2 linked regions of the Schizosaccharomyces pombe genome follow. The gene in region 1 interacts genetically with each later gene. Each region holds a gene or a part of one and is shown in the gene's direction. Other genes may lie near its edges.

Region 1 (6,509 bases):
ATTTACGATGAGTAAAAATACTTGTTGACGTAAATTAAGTTAACGCATTTAGTTTATCTACATGAACGTTATGGCCTTTTGGTCGAAGAAAAATGTTTTCTTAAGTTTTGAAATCTAATTTAACGCAGGTTTACGCTAAACGGTTAAATAACGTTTTTTGTAAGACACGAATATTTTCAGTTCTTCTTTTCCCAAGTAGCGGTGCACGATTTATGCCATTATTTACTCGTATCAATACGTTGACATTTACTTAATCTTTAAATTTTTAATCTCGTTTAGATCAAGAGTGGTGTGTTTTCTGGTTTAAACATTAAAGTAAAGATTTGCGGAGTAAATATTAAGAGAGGTGCAACATGTCAATAGTCTCGTCTGTGGCTTTTGTTCCTCGCGGTTATGCATCAGAGTTTCCCAAGAGTTACGATATTGATGAGATAGAGTATGAGCGAATTAATCAGCTTTCAAAGTTAAAGCTCGAGGATGCTCGAGCTGATCTCCAATCTTCTATGGAAGACTCAAATAAAGCCAATGGGAACGGTGAAGAAACTACAGATGGAGCAGAAGGGGTGTTGCAAACAAGTGAAGAGGTAGATGATGAATTGAAAGTATACAATTTGGATACTTACGATGACGATGAGGAGGAAGCTGAGACAGAAGGGCCCGCTGCTATGTTTAGCAACATTCGTGGATTGGCTTACCATGAAAATGGAGAAAAAGATCCATATATCACTATTGATCCTCAGGAACAGGACGATTTGGAAAGAGAGGAAATGCAAATATTACCAACAGACAGCCTTTTGCTAGCTGCGCGCACAGAAGATAACTTGTCCCACGTTGAAGTGTATGTATATGAGCCAACAGAGGAAAATCTTTACGTGCATCATGATTTTCTTCTCCCTACCTTTCCTCTGTGTCTCGAATGGCTAGATTATAAGGTGGGTACGTCTGACAACGCTCCTGGAAATTACGTTGCTGTCGGCACGTTTGATCCTGAAATTGAAATATGGGATTTAGACATCATTGATGCAGTTTACCCTGCAGCCGTGTTGGGTGCAGGTGCCTCTCAAGTCAACAAGAAAAAGAAGAAGTCTAAAAAAATAAATGATAGTTATCACACAGATGCTGTTCTTGCTCTTTCTTCGAACCGAAATGCTCACAATCTTTTGGTTTCTGGTTCTGCAGATACCACACTAAAGTTGTGGGATTTGAGCACATGCAATTGTGTCAAATCTTTCACGTATCATTCTGACAAAGTTTCTTGCTTAGATTGGTATTCCAAAGCTCCATCCGTATTATTGTCAGGTAGTTATGATAAAACTGCAAAAATAGCTGACCTTCGCCTTGAAGAAGCTCCATCGAGTTTTCAAGTTACTAGCGATGTTGAAAATGTTGCCTGGGATCAACATAGCGAAAACAACTTTTTCATTGGCACTGATAATGGCATAGTTTATTATTGCGATGCTAGAAATCTCTCAAAGTCCGTTTGGCAATTGCAAGCCCATGATGGACCTATTTCTTGTCTCAGTGTTAATCCTTCGGTTCCTTCTTTTGTAGCCACAGGCTCCACTGATAGAGTGGTTAAACTCTGGAACACTTCCGATAGTTCACCGAAGATGGTTGTTTCTAGAGATTTGGATGTTGGACGTGTGTTTACTTGCTCCTTTACTACGGACGAATCAACTGCTTTCCATCTAGCTGCCTCCGGAAGCAAAGGAGTCGTTCGTGTCTGGGACACTGCAACTAATCCTGGTGTTCGAAAAGCGTTTGAAAGTAGAGTTACTGAGGAAGTTACTAAAAAAGAGCGCATCGTTCAGTTAGAAGACAGAGGTGCCGGGGAGGACTCTTCTGATGATGATGACTATGAAGATATAGAAGACGATGATGATCAAGATGCTGAGATGTCCTAATTCTCTTGATTTATTTTAAGATTATAGCTTCATGTTTTCAAAAACTCTCCTAAGAGGCCGCTTCATGGGTTTAAAGGGCTCACTAATTGTATAGAGGATTTTTTGCATAATTCAATATTTGGAAAAAAGGGATCAGGTTAGTTACAATAAATTTCATTTGATTTGGTGTATGATGGTCTTTAAACTTTAGTAAATTCATCCACATTAGTGGAGTAGCAAATGTATGCATTAAGTGTATATTGGGTTTACCGTTACTTGGTAAATTTTGCCTAACAATTCTTTTAATTCATATGACAATTTTTATTTAAACATTGAAGTACTGATAAATTGTTAATTGTCAATTACTCAGGTTCATGATTTTGCACCTTTGGGGGGCCGGAGGGTCTGAGTAAGTTCGCCTTCCGCCAGCAACCTTATTGATTTAGTAGGTATGCTTTCACATAATCAAAATGATTTGCTATTTACGAAGTTAATAGATAAATTAACTGATTATATGTCCAGTAAAGATGCAGCTACATCGCTTGCCAGTCGAGTTTTGACAATTGCCAAGGGTAGCTCGTCCAGCACCGAGTTTTCTAATGCATTACATACATTTGGACGATTTTCCGATAATGACAGCGTCCTTATTTACGATTTATGCAAATCTATAATTGGTTTAGAGACAAATTTGGGGATTTCTAAAGATAAACTTCCTGGGAATGATGGGTCTCAGGTAGCTGGATTAGTTTTGTCTAATCGTTCTGGTTTGAAAGGCCGAGAACCCAAAAAATCCCAGCTTGGATTGGATGTTCTTGCTGTTCAAAAAAAGAAAGAGAAATCTCAAGTAGAAGGGCGCTCTGAATTATCCCAAGTAGAAAATGATTCCTTGGAGTCTATAGGAAACTATGACAGGGTGGAATTTAAGAGACCTAAAAATCCACATGAAAAACATTTTCGTCCCCTTCGTCAACGGTCATCTGTTGACGATCATCAAGAGTTTGAAAGTGAAGATGATAAATATCGTAGAAATTCTTATTCTAGCTGGTCTGGAAGTAATTTCGAGTCTTCCAATGGATCTAATCGTCGGCGGTATCGAACTCAAATGGAAGAACCTTTATCCTCAAAACGCAGAAATCGGTTTGGTAATGGTTCTCGAAGAGACGTCGATAGCTCTAAATATTCGCACGATAGTGATTATTCTTATGGTGCACACAGCTCTTGGGATGCCCGCGACGTTGAGTACCCCGAAGAAGATCCCGAGAGTAAAGCTGATCGTCAACGTTGGGAAGAGGAGCAAGCTCACTTGGATCGTGATTGGTACATGAATTCCGAGTCGCAAAATTTACTTGGCGATGAAGTTCACAATCCATTCTCCGATTTTGAAACTGTCGAAGATCGTGCACATGAAGCTGAGTTTATCGAAAAGCAGAAAAAGCATTTGTCAATTGAAGCATCAGACAGATTTAAAGAAAATTCTATGTGGGAAAAAAATAGAATGATCACATCTGGTGTTTCAAAAGCTCCAGGGCTCGAATCTGATTACTCCCTTATGGAAGAGAGGCGTGTTCACTTGCTTGTCGATGAACTGCGTCCTCATTTTTTGGATGGGGCCGAATTTTCTTCTAAGAAAGTCGGTGATATTACATCGGTTCGAGATCCACAAAGCGACCTTGCAATAAATGCTAGATTAGGATCTCGTCTTGTACGTGAACGAAGAGAATTTCGGGAGCGTCAAAAAGCAGCAAGTGCTGCTACATCCCTTGCTGGTACATCTTTGGGTAACGTGATGGGTCTCAAAGATTCTAATGATGAAGATGCCAAGGCCGGTACCACACCTGTTAAAGTAGCTGGACGTTCTGAACAGTCGAATAAGAAGGATACTGAGTTCGCTCGCACGAAATCATATAGAGAACAAAGAGAGTTCCTACCTGCCTTTGCCGTGCGTGAACAGCTTCTTTCTGTTATACGTGATAACCAAGTTCTTATTGTAGTTGGTGAGACTGGTTCTGGTAAAACTACCCAATTAGCTCAATTCTTATATGAGGATGGCTATCATAGAAATGGCATGATAGGGTGTACTCAACCTCGTCGTGTCGCCGCCATGTCAGTTGCAAAAAGGGTTAGTGAGGAAATGGGTGTTCGTCTAGGTTCAACAGTTGGTTATTCAATTCGTTTCGAAGATGTTACTGGACCGGATACCGTAATTAAGTACATGACTGACGGTGTTTTACTAAGAGAATCCTTGATGCAAAATAATCTAGAAAAATATAGCGTCATTATAATGGATGAAGCACATGAGCGATCCCTTAATACAGATATTTTAATGGGTTTACTAAAAAAGGTGTTATCCAGGAGAAGAGATATCAAGTTGCTCGTTACATCCGCTACTATGAATTCCCAGAAATTCTCTGATTTTTTTGGAGGCGCCCCACAGTTTACAATTCCAGGTCGTACTTACCCGGTGGATATTATGTTTGCTAAAGCCCCTTGCTCTGATTACGTTGAAGCAGCTGTACGACAGGTATTGCAGATTCACCTCTCTCAGCCTGCAGGTGATATCTTAGTTTTTATGACAGGGCAGGAAGATATTGAAGCTACATGCGAGATCATTGCAGATAGGTTAAATCAGTTGCATGATGCACCACGCTTGTCCATTTTGCCTATCTACTCACAAATGCCTGCGGATTTACAAGCAAAAATTTTTGATTCCGCCGAGCCAGGTGTTAGAAAGGTTGTGGTCGCAACTAATATTGCGGAAACTTCGCTCACTGTGCACGGAATATCATATGTTGTAGATACTGGATATTGTAAACTGAAAATGTATAATTCTAAGTTGGGTATTGATACTCTGCAAGTTACACCTATTTCGCAAGCTAATGCGAATCAAAGAGCCGGTCGTGCTGGGCGTACTGGACCCGGTATTGCATATCGCCTTTATACCGAAATGGCTTATATTCGTGAAATGTTTGAAACGACCTTACCTGAAATTCAGCGTACCAATCTATCAAACACAGTTCTTATTTTAAAATCCCTTGGTGTTGAAGAAATTTCGGATTTTGATTTCATGGACCGTCCTCCAAATGATACGTTAATGGCATCTCTGTATGAATTATGGACTTTAGGAGCCCTCGACAATTTTGGAAAACTTACTACTTTAGGAAAGAAAATGTCGTTATTTCCAATGGATCCTTCTCTTTCAAAACTTATTATTATTGCTGAAGATTATAAATGTACTGAGGAAATTATTACGATTGTTTCCATGCTTTCAGTTCCGTCTGTATTTTATAGACCCAAGGAAAGAGCTGAAGAGAGTGACGCTGCAAGAGAAAAGTTTAATGTGCCAGAAAGTGATCATTTAATGCTACTCAATATTTATCAGCATTGGCAAAGAAATGGATATTCAAATTCATGGTGCAGTAAACATTTTTTACACTCGAAAACTCTTAAACGGGCGCGCGATATTCGTCAACAGCTGGTCGAAATTATGTCAAAGCAAAAGATTAGTTTAGAATCTGTATCCGATTGGGACATTGTTCGGAGAGTTTTGTGTTCTGCGTACTTTCATCAAGCAGCATGCGCTAAAGGTATTGGGGAGTATGTTCATTTACGAAGCGGCATGCCTTGCCATCTACATGTTACTTCGAGTCTTTATGGCTTAGGGTATCTACCTGATTATGTTATATATCACGAACTTGTACTCACTTCCAAGGAGTACATGAATATTGTCACCAGTGTTGATCCATACTGGCTAGCTGAGTTTGGTGGAGTTTACTACTCTGTGAAGGAAAGATTCCGAAATGAAACTGAAAGCTATGATCGAGTTTTTTCTAGCAAACCTCAATTGGATGCACAGATAGCCGCCGACCGAGAACTTGATGCAAAGCAAAAGCTTGCGAAGAATCAAGAACCCGTGAAATCAAAACGAAAGTCAGTGATACGTGCCAAACCTCCTAGAAGGGTTCGTGGATTTTAATGAGAACTCTGCAAAAAGGTTCCCATCTCAAAATTCTATGTAAATTATGTTATGAATAATGTGCTAGGTTTATGGTAATAAAGAAATTCAGTTATTAACATTTTTTTATTATTTTAAATTGAGAGGATTAATAAATTCATTAAGAAAGTGAAAAATAGTTTTTTAGCAGTAATTATAAAGAACGGGATTTGAAAACATTTATATACATAATTACCTTCTGCCGTTCCAAAGCGGCCATCTATTTTCCATCCAGCGTTCTAACTTATCCCACAATTGACTGACTACTTCACGATCAGTATGTCGTCGTAATCTTTCCACAAAAATGCCTTCTACATTCCAGTCATGTGTTGCAGGATGAGGAGGATCACCAACGTATTGAACCAAAAATCCTTTAACATGATGAAAAAGCTGGTGCGGTTCTGACCATTTATAATCTCTAAACTGCCAAGCTTGGCCTGTTGTAAAAACGCAAACGACGCGATCCCAATAGTCAGGTTTAAACTTTTCTGTACCTTCTACGATAATAAAACGCATTGTTCCAAATTTTGAATTCGAGCTTTTGTGGGACAGAGCAATAAGCTCAGGACCACGACCACCACCAGCTGCATGAGCGGCTTCAGCTGGAGGAACAAAAATACCTTCTTCCAAAAATT
Region 2 (5,774 bases), 1.9 Mb from region 1:
GGAACCTTGGGATCGATGCGATGTAGTTGCCAGAGGTCAATTTGCTTAACTCCAAGTCGACGCATGCTCATAAGTACTTCTTGACGTAAAAATTTGGGTGCTCCACAAGGATGCCATTCATTTGGACCTGTACGAACAAGGCCACCCTTGGTAGCAATTATAAGTCCTTTGTAAGGGTATAAAGCTTCTCGTAAAAGATTCTCGCTGACCTCAGGGCCGTAAGAATCGGCGGTATCAATAAAGTTAATATTGAGTTCAGGCAAACGTTTTAAAGTTGCGATGCAAGCCTCTTTGTCTTTGGGTTCATCCCATATACCATCACCGGTAACTCTCATTGCTCCGAATCCCATTCTATTGACAACCATGTCGCCAACCTTGACAGTCCCAGCTTGTGAAGCATCTACGGCGGAAGAAGCTGCAGTTTTACTCATTTTTGTGTCTTTTGTCGCTTTTCTTAGAAATCAAGATCAAGTACTATAGTGGATCCGGTAAGTGTGGGATGTCAGACGCCGTTTCCTTTTATAGTAATTTTACATGGTGTATTCCTTACATAAGCTGGATTGATGCGGACTATCTTAAACCACGAAAACTGATTTATTACATACCCTATTTACAGAATCCAGTGGTATGATGTAAGAGCGCGTTAGACAATATATTGTCATAACGATGACTAATACTATTATAGTACGATATTGCTGGTTGGATTTTGAATTAGAGTAAATAGCTAAGTCCTTTTTGATTTGGCTCTTATTCAATTTAATGATAATTTTATGGTTCCAAAATCTGATGCTGGATGAATTGTCTAAACTGTATCTCTGTCTTCTTTTGCCAGCCCATTTTTATTCATGAGCAACGATGGTCGCACATAACGATAATGATCTTTATTGCTATGTTTCTTTCTATTCAAGATAATGTGGATTTATATTTTCCATCTTCTTGAATTATGCTTGATCGTGCTATCAAATCGTACTACGAGTTATCATTTGGAGACCACAAATGGGTTGACCAGTTCCGTAAATCGAGGTAAACATTGCACATAATAACAATTCTAGGACTGTATTTGAAAGGAAACACATTTTTTGAATTTAGTTGATGATGCCAGTATATTATTAGTGTTATTGACATTCAGCAATTTGTTGTGTGTTTTATAAACACACTAAATACTTTGTACAGTTGCAAAACTTGCGCTCTAAAAATGTTTGCACCGCACTTTTACAATGGCTATTTACTCTTACTATTGTCTTCGAAAAGCTTATAAATTTGGCTGCTAAACATGGGTCGGTAGCTCAAATCGTAGACATAACCAGTCTTTTAAGGTCTCAATTACACCCATGTACGACTTTTAAGGAGGAAGTTGGTAAATAAAAAAGTATATTTGGTTTTCAATAATTACGATTCATTCCTTTCTATCAAAATGAGACGATGTCGTTCTTCGGCAACCTTAAAGAGTGTAGTGGAAGTTACTGAGCCGATCATATCTCGTTTAGAGAGTATAAAGACAATGATTTCTCTAGCTCATTATCAAAGCTTAACGAGATATAAATCGCAGTTGAGACATGAATGCGCTAAAGCTCGAAAACTTGGTTACACTTTACTTCAAATTTGGTAATTACCAAAAGTTGTGCATTGTGGGTACTTGGCAGTAACTGATGATGGAAGAGGATTTATATGATGAGTAAGTGGTCTAAAAACATTTTATAGTTATTTCTAACTCGCCAGGTTTGGAAATTACATAGGCCCTGAAAATGAAGAAGATGAAGAGGAGCTGTTTCCTCAGGCTCCTAGCCCTACAATTGCACAGGTACCATCCTTTGAAGAGGTCATTCCTGATGAAGAATTAGAAGACGTTGAAAGGGCCGAGGAAATGGCGTTGAGTCATCTAGAGCCTCAGAATGCCGTTGTTCTTCACGAGGATAAACAATATTATCCTAGCGCTGAAGAGGTATATGGGTCCAACGTGGATATCATGGTTCAGGAACAGGATACTCAACCCTTAAGCCAGCCCATTATTGAGCCAATTCGTCACAAAAGGATTGCTATAGAAACAACAAACGTCCCAGATACTGTATACAAGAAAGAGTAAGTATGTGTAACAATGTCTTTTCTAACTTTTTAAGGTTCCTCTTCGGTCTCTTAACTGGGACAGATGACGTTAGATCTTTTATTGTTGCTGGCCATCTGCATCACGGCAAAAGCGCTTTATTAGATTTACTCGTTTATTATACCCATCCTGACACCAAGCCGCCAAAAAGGCGTTCACTTCGATATACCGACACTCATTATCTTGAAAGAGAACGTGTGATGTCTATAAAAAGTACTCCACTTACGCTCGCAGTTTCTGATATGAAGGGTAAGACGTTTGCATTTCAGTGCATCGATACGCCTGGTCATGTCGATTTTGTTGATGAAGTCGCTGCTCCTATGGCCATAAGTGATGGTGTTGTATTAGTCGTTGATGTTATTGAAGGTGTAAGTTATTCTGGCCTTTTCTTGCGTTTTGAAGATATAAAGATTCTAACATGCTTTAGGTGATGATTAACACCACTAGAATTATCAAACATGCGATTCTTCACGATATGCCAATTGTGCTCGTCTTGAACAAAGTTGATAGGTTAATCCTTGAGCTACGTCTCCCTCCGAATGATGCTTACCATAAACTTCGACACGTTATCGACGAAGTAAACGATAACATTTGCCAGATTAGTAAAGATTTGAAATATCGCGTTTCTCCTGAGTTAGGGAACGTTTGTTTTGCTTCATGTGATCTTGGATATTGTTTTACATTGTCTAGTTTCGCAAAACTCTATATAGATAGACATGGAGGTATCGACGTGGACTTATTTTCTAAAAGATTGTGGGGGGATATTTATTTCGATTCGAAAACCAGAAAATTTGCCAAACAGTCCTTGGATGGCTCTGGCGTTAGAAGCTTTGTCCATTTCATATTAGAACCGTTGTATAAATTACATACCCTTACTATTTCTGACGAAGCCGAAAAACTCAAAAAACACTTATCTTCTTTCCAAATTTATTTAAAACCCAAGGATTATTTATTAGATCCTAAACCACTCTTGCAACTAATTTGCGCATCGTTTTTTGGATTCCCCGTTGGTTTTGTGAATGCAGTTACTAGACATATTCCATCGCCTCGAGAAAATGCCGCTCGTAAAGCCTCTCAATCATATATTGGGCCTATAAACTCTAGTATCGGCAAGGCTATCTTAGAAATGAGTCGTGAGGAATCAGCACCATTAGTCATGCATGTTACTAAACTTTACAACACCGTCGATGCTAATAATTTTTATGCATTTGCTCGTGTATATAGTGGTCAGGTTAAAAAGGGTCAGAAAGTTAAAGTTCTTGGAGAAAATTATTCTTTAGAAGACGAAGAGGATATGGTGGTTGCTCATATTGCTGAAATATGTGTACCTTGCGCACGATATCGTCTTCACGTTGATGGAGCTGTTGCCGGCATGCTAGTTCTTTTAGGAGGTGTTGATAACTCTATTAGCAAAACAGCAACCATCGTTTCGGACAATTTGAAAGATGATCCTTACATTTTCAGGCCAATTGCTCACATGTCCGAGAGTGTTTTCAAGGTGGCTGTAGAGCCACACAATCCATCAGAATTACCAAAACTACTTGATGGCCTACGAAAAACAAACAAAAGCTACCCACTATCTATCACAAAAGTAGAAGAATCTGGGGAACATACTATTTTCGGTACTGGTGAGATGTATATGGATTGTCTACTTTATGATCTTCGGACTTTATACTCTGAAATCGAAATCAGAGTTTCCGATCCAGTTGCTCGTTTCTGTGAGACTGCGGTGGACACATCAAGTATCAAGTGTTTTTCAGATACTCCAAATAAAAAAAATCGTATCACAATGGTAGTTGAGCCATTGGAGAAAGGAATTTCTAATGACATTGAAAATGGAAAAGTTAATATCAATTGGCCTCAAAAAAGAATCAGCGAATTTTTCCAAAAGAACTACGATTGGGACTTACTAGCTTCACGTTCCATCTGGGCTTTTGGTCCCGATGATCGTGGTACGAATATATTGCGGGATGATACTCTTAGTACAGATGTTGATAAAAACGTGCTTAATAGCGTAAAAGAATACATTAAACAAGGTTTTCAATGGGGGACTAGGGAAGGTCCTCTATGTGATGAGACAATCCGAAACGTGAATTTTCGCCTGATGGATGTAGTGCTTGCACCTGAACAAATTTATCGAGGAGGTGGTCAAATTATTCCAACCGCAAGGAGAGTGTGTTATTCTTCTTTTTTAACAGCGTCTCCACGGCTAATGGAACCAGTGTATATGGTTGAAGTACATGCCCCCGCTGACAGTCTTCCTATTATTTATGATTTATTAACGCGTCGTCGTGGTCATGTCCTCCAAGATATCCCTCGGCCAGGTTCCCCATTATATTTGGTGAGAGCACTTATTCCAGTCATTGATTCTTGTGGATTTGAAACAGATTTACGAGTGCATACTCAGGGTCAAGCTATGTGTCAAATGGTATTTGATCATTGGCAGGTAGTACCTGGTGATCCACTGGATAAGTCTATCAAGCCCAAGCCATTAGAACCCGCACGTGGCTCTGATTTGGCGAGAGACTTTCTGATTAAGACAAGACGTAGAAAAGGTCTGGTGGAAGATGTTTCTACAACTCGCTATTTCGATCAAGAAATGATTGATTCTTTGAAAGAAGCAGGTGTCGTACTCTCTTTGTAATGTCGGTTTTAAGTCTTTATAATGGATTTTGCAAAAAAAAATAAATTGGGTAGATTTTAATAATAAAGTATACGATTATTTATGAAAGTTCGAGAAGTCTAACAACTTTTTTTTGCTTTCAAATCTCGCGTTTACAGTGTATGAAATCCGAAAAATCAGCGCATATCTTGAAGCCGTAAATTATTTGTGAAATCCTTGATCAGAAGGAAAAGTCGCATTTTGGTTTTACGATTTTAGTATATAGATAAATAACTTCTATTATTTATTTTTTTATGTTAAGAAACTAACACTCAACTGAAATAACGTAATTTCATAGTACTATAAACACCCGAGGTCATATGTCATGAAGTTACCCTCTCAGTATACCGGAAGACTTTAGGGACATATACAACTTCCGGAAGTGCTCTGCTTTTGGAAGTAAAATACAGCGAGTTTAGTTAGATTAGTTTATTATTATCCTTAAAACTGAAGATGGGTTTGAGACTTTTGTTTTCTCTCATTTGCGTATTTTGCATATCGAACATTTTTACGCAAGCCTTCTTGGTGCATCAAATATATGGTAATTCCAGCTTCACAAAAATATCTTTAAATCAACTTGAGGGCAGAGATTCTCAAGAGGAACTACAAAGGCGTCAGGAAATCCGATATTATGGTCGTGCCGCTGAAACTGGAGGAACTCCTACTTACTACGGGTATGCGACACCCACTAGCTCTAGTGAACCCAGTATCTTTTCTGAATCTGCTACTCCCTCAGAAACTAATTCTTACTCGTCTCCGGTCAGCTCTTATTCTGATCCCGCAACTAGTCAGCTTCCCTCGTCGACTTCTTTCTTTTCACCTACTTCTTCTGAATATACGCCTTCTAGTACGGAATCCAGTTCTCTTCTGGACCCAAGTTCTGTATCATCAGCTATTTTACCAAGCAGTACTAGTGTTGAAGTAAGTATTTCTTCATCAAGTTTGTCATCTTCTGATCCTTTGACTTCTTCAACTTTTTCCTCCTTGAGTTCAAGCACTTCTTCAAGTCAG

The links.
Region 2: of prp16 (region 1) and cwf10, a mutation in one rescues a mutant of the other (synthetic rescue), as found in Schizosaccharomyces pombe (one study listed by BioGRID).

Annotation. Positions count from the first base shown.
Region 1 is NC_003423.3:2,163,925-2,170,433, forward strand, and holds prp16 (ATP-dependent RNA helicase Prp16), read left to right. Parts: upstream 1-2,300; 5' UTR 2,301-2,334; coding exon 2,335-5,856; 3' UTR 5,857-6,009; downstream 6,010-6,509. Other genes in the region: pwp1 (WD repeat protein), read left to right, coding at 354-1,904; Cdc73 family RNA polymerase II accessory factor, read right to left, coding at 6,067-6,509.
Region 2 is NC_003423.3:4,050,952-4,056,725, forward strand, and holds cwf10 (GTPase Cwf10), read left to right. Parts: upstream 1-1,604; 5' UTR 1,605-1,649; coding exon 1,650-1,675; exon of another isoform or gene 1,676-1,719; coding exon 1,720-2,079; intron 2,080-2,117; coding exon 2,118-2,469; exon of another isoform or gene 2,470-2,528; coding exon 2,529-4,745; 3' UTR 4,746-5,028; downstream 5,029-5,774. Other genes in the region: SPOM_SPBC215.11C (aldo/keto reductase family protein), read right to left, coding at 1-431; protein Mtl3, read left to right, coding at 5,217-5,774. UniProt on the Schizosaccharomyces pombe protein: Component of the U5 snRNP complex required for pre-mRNA splicing. Binds GTP.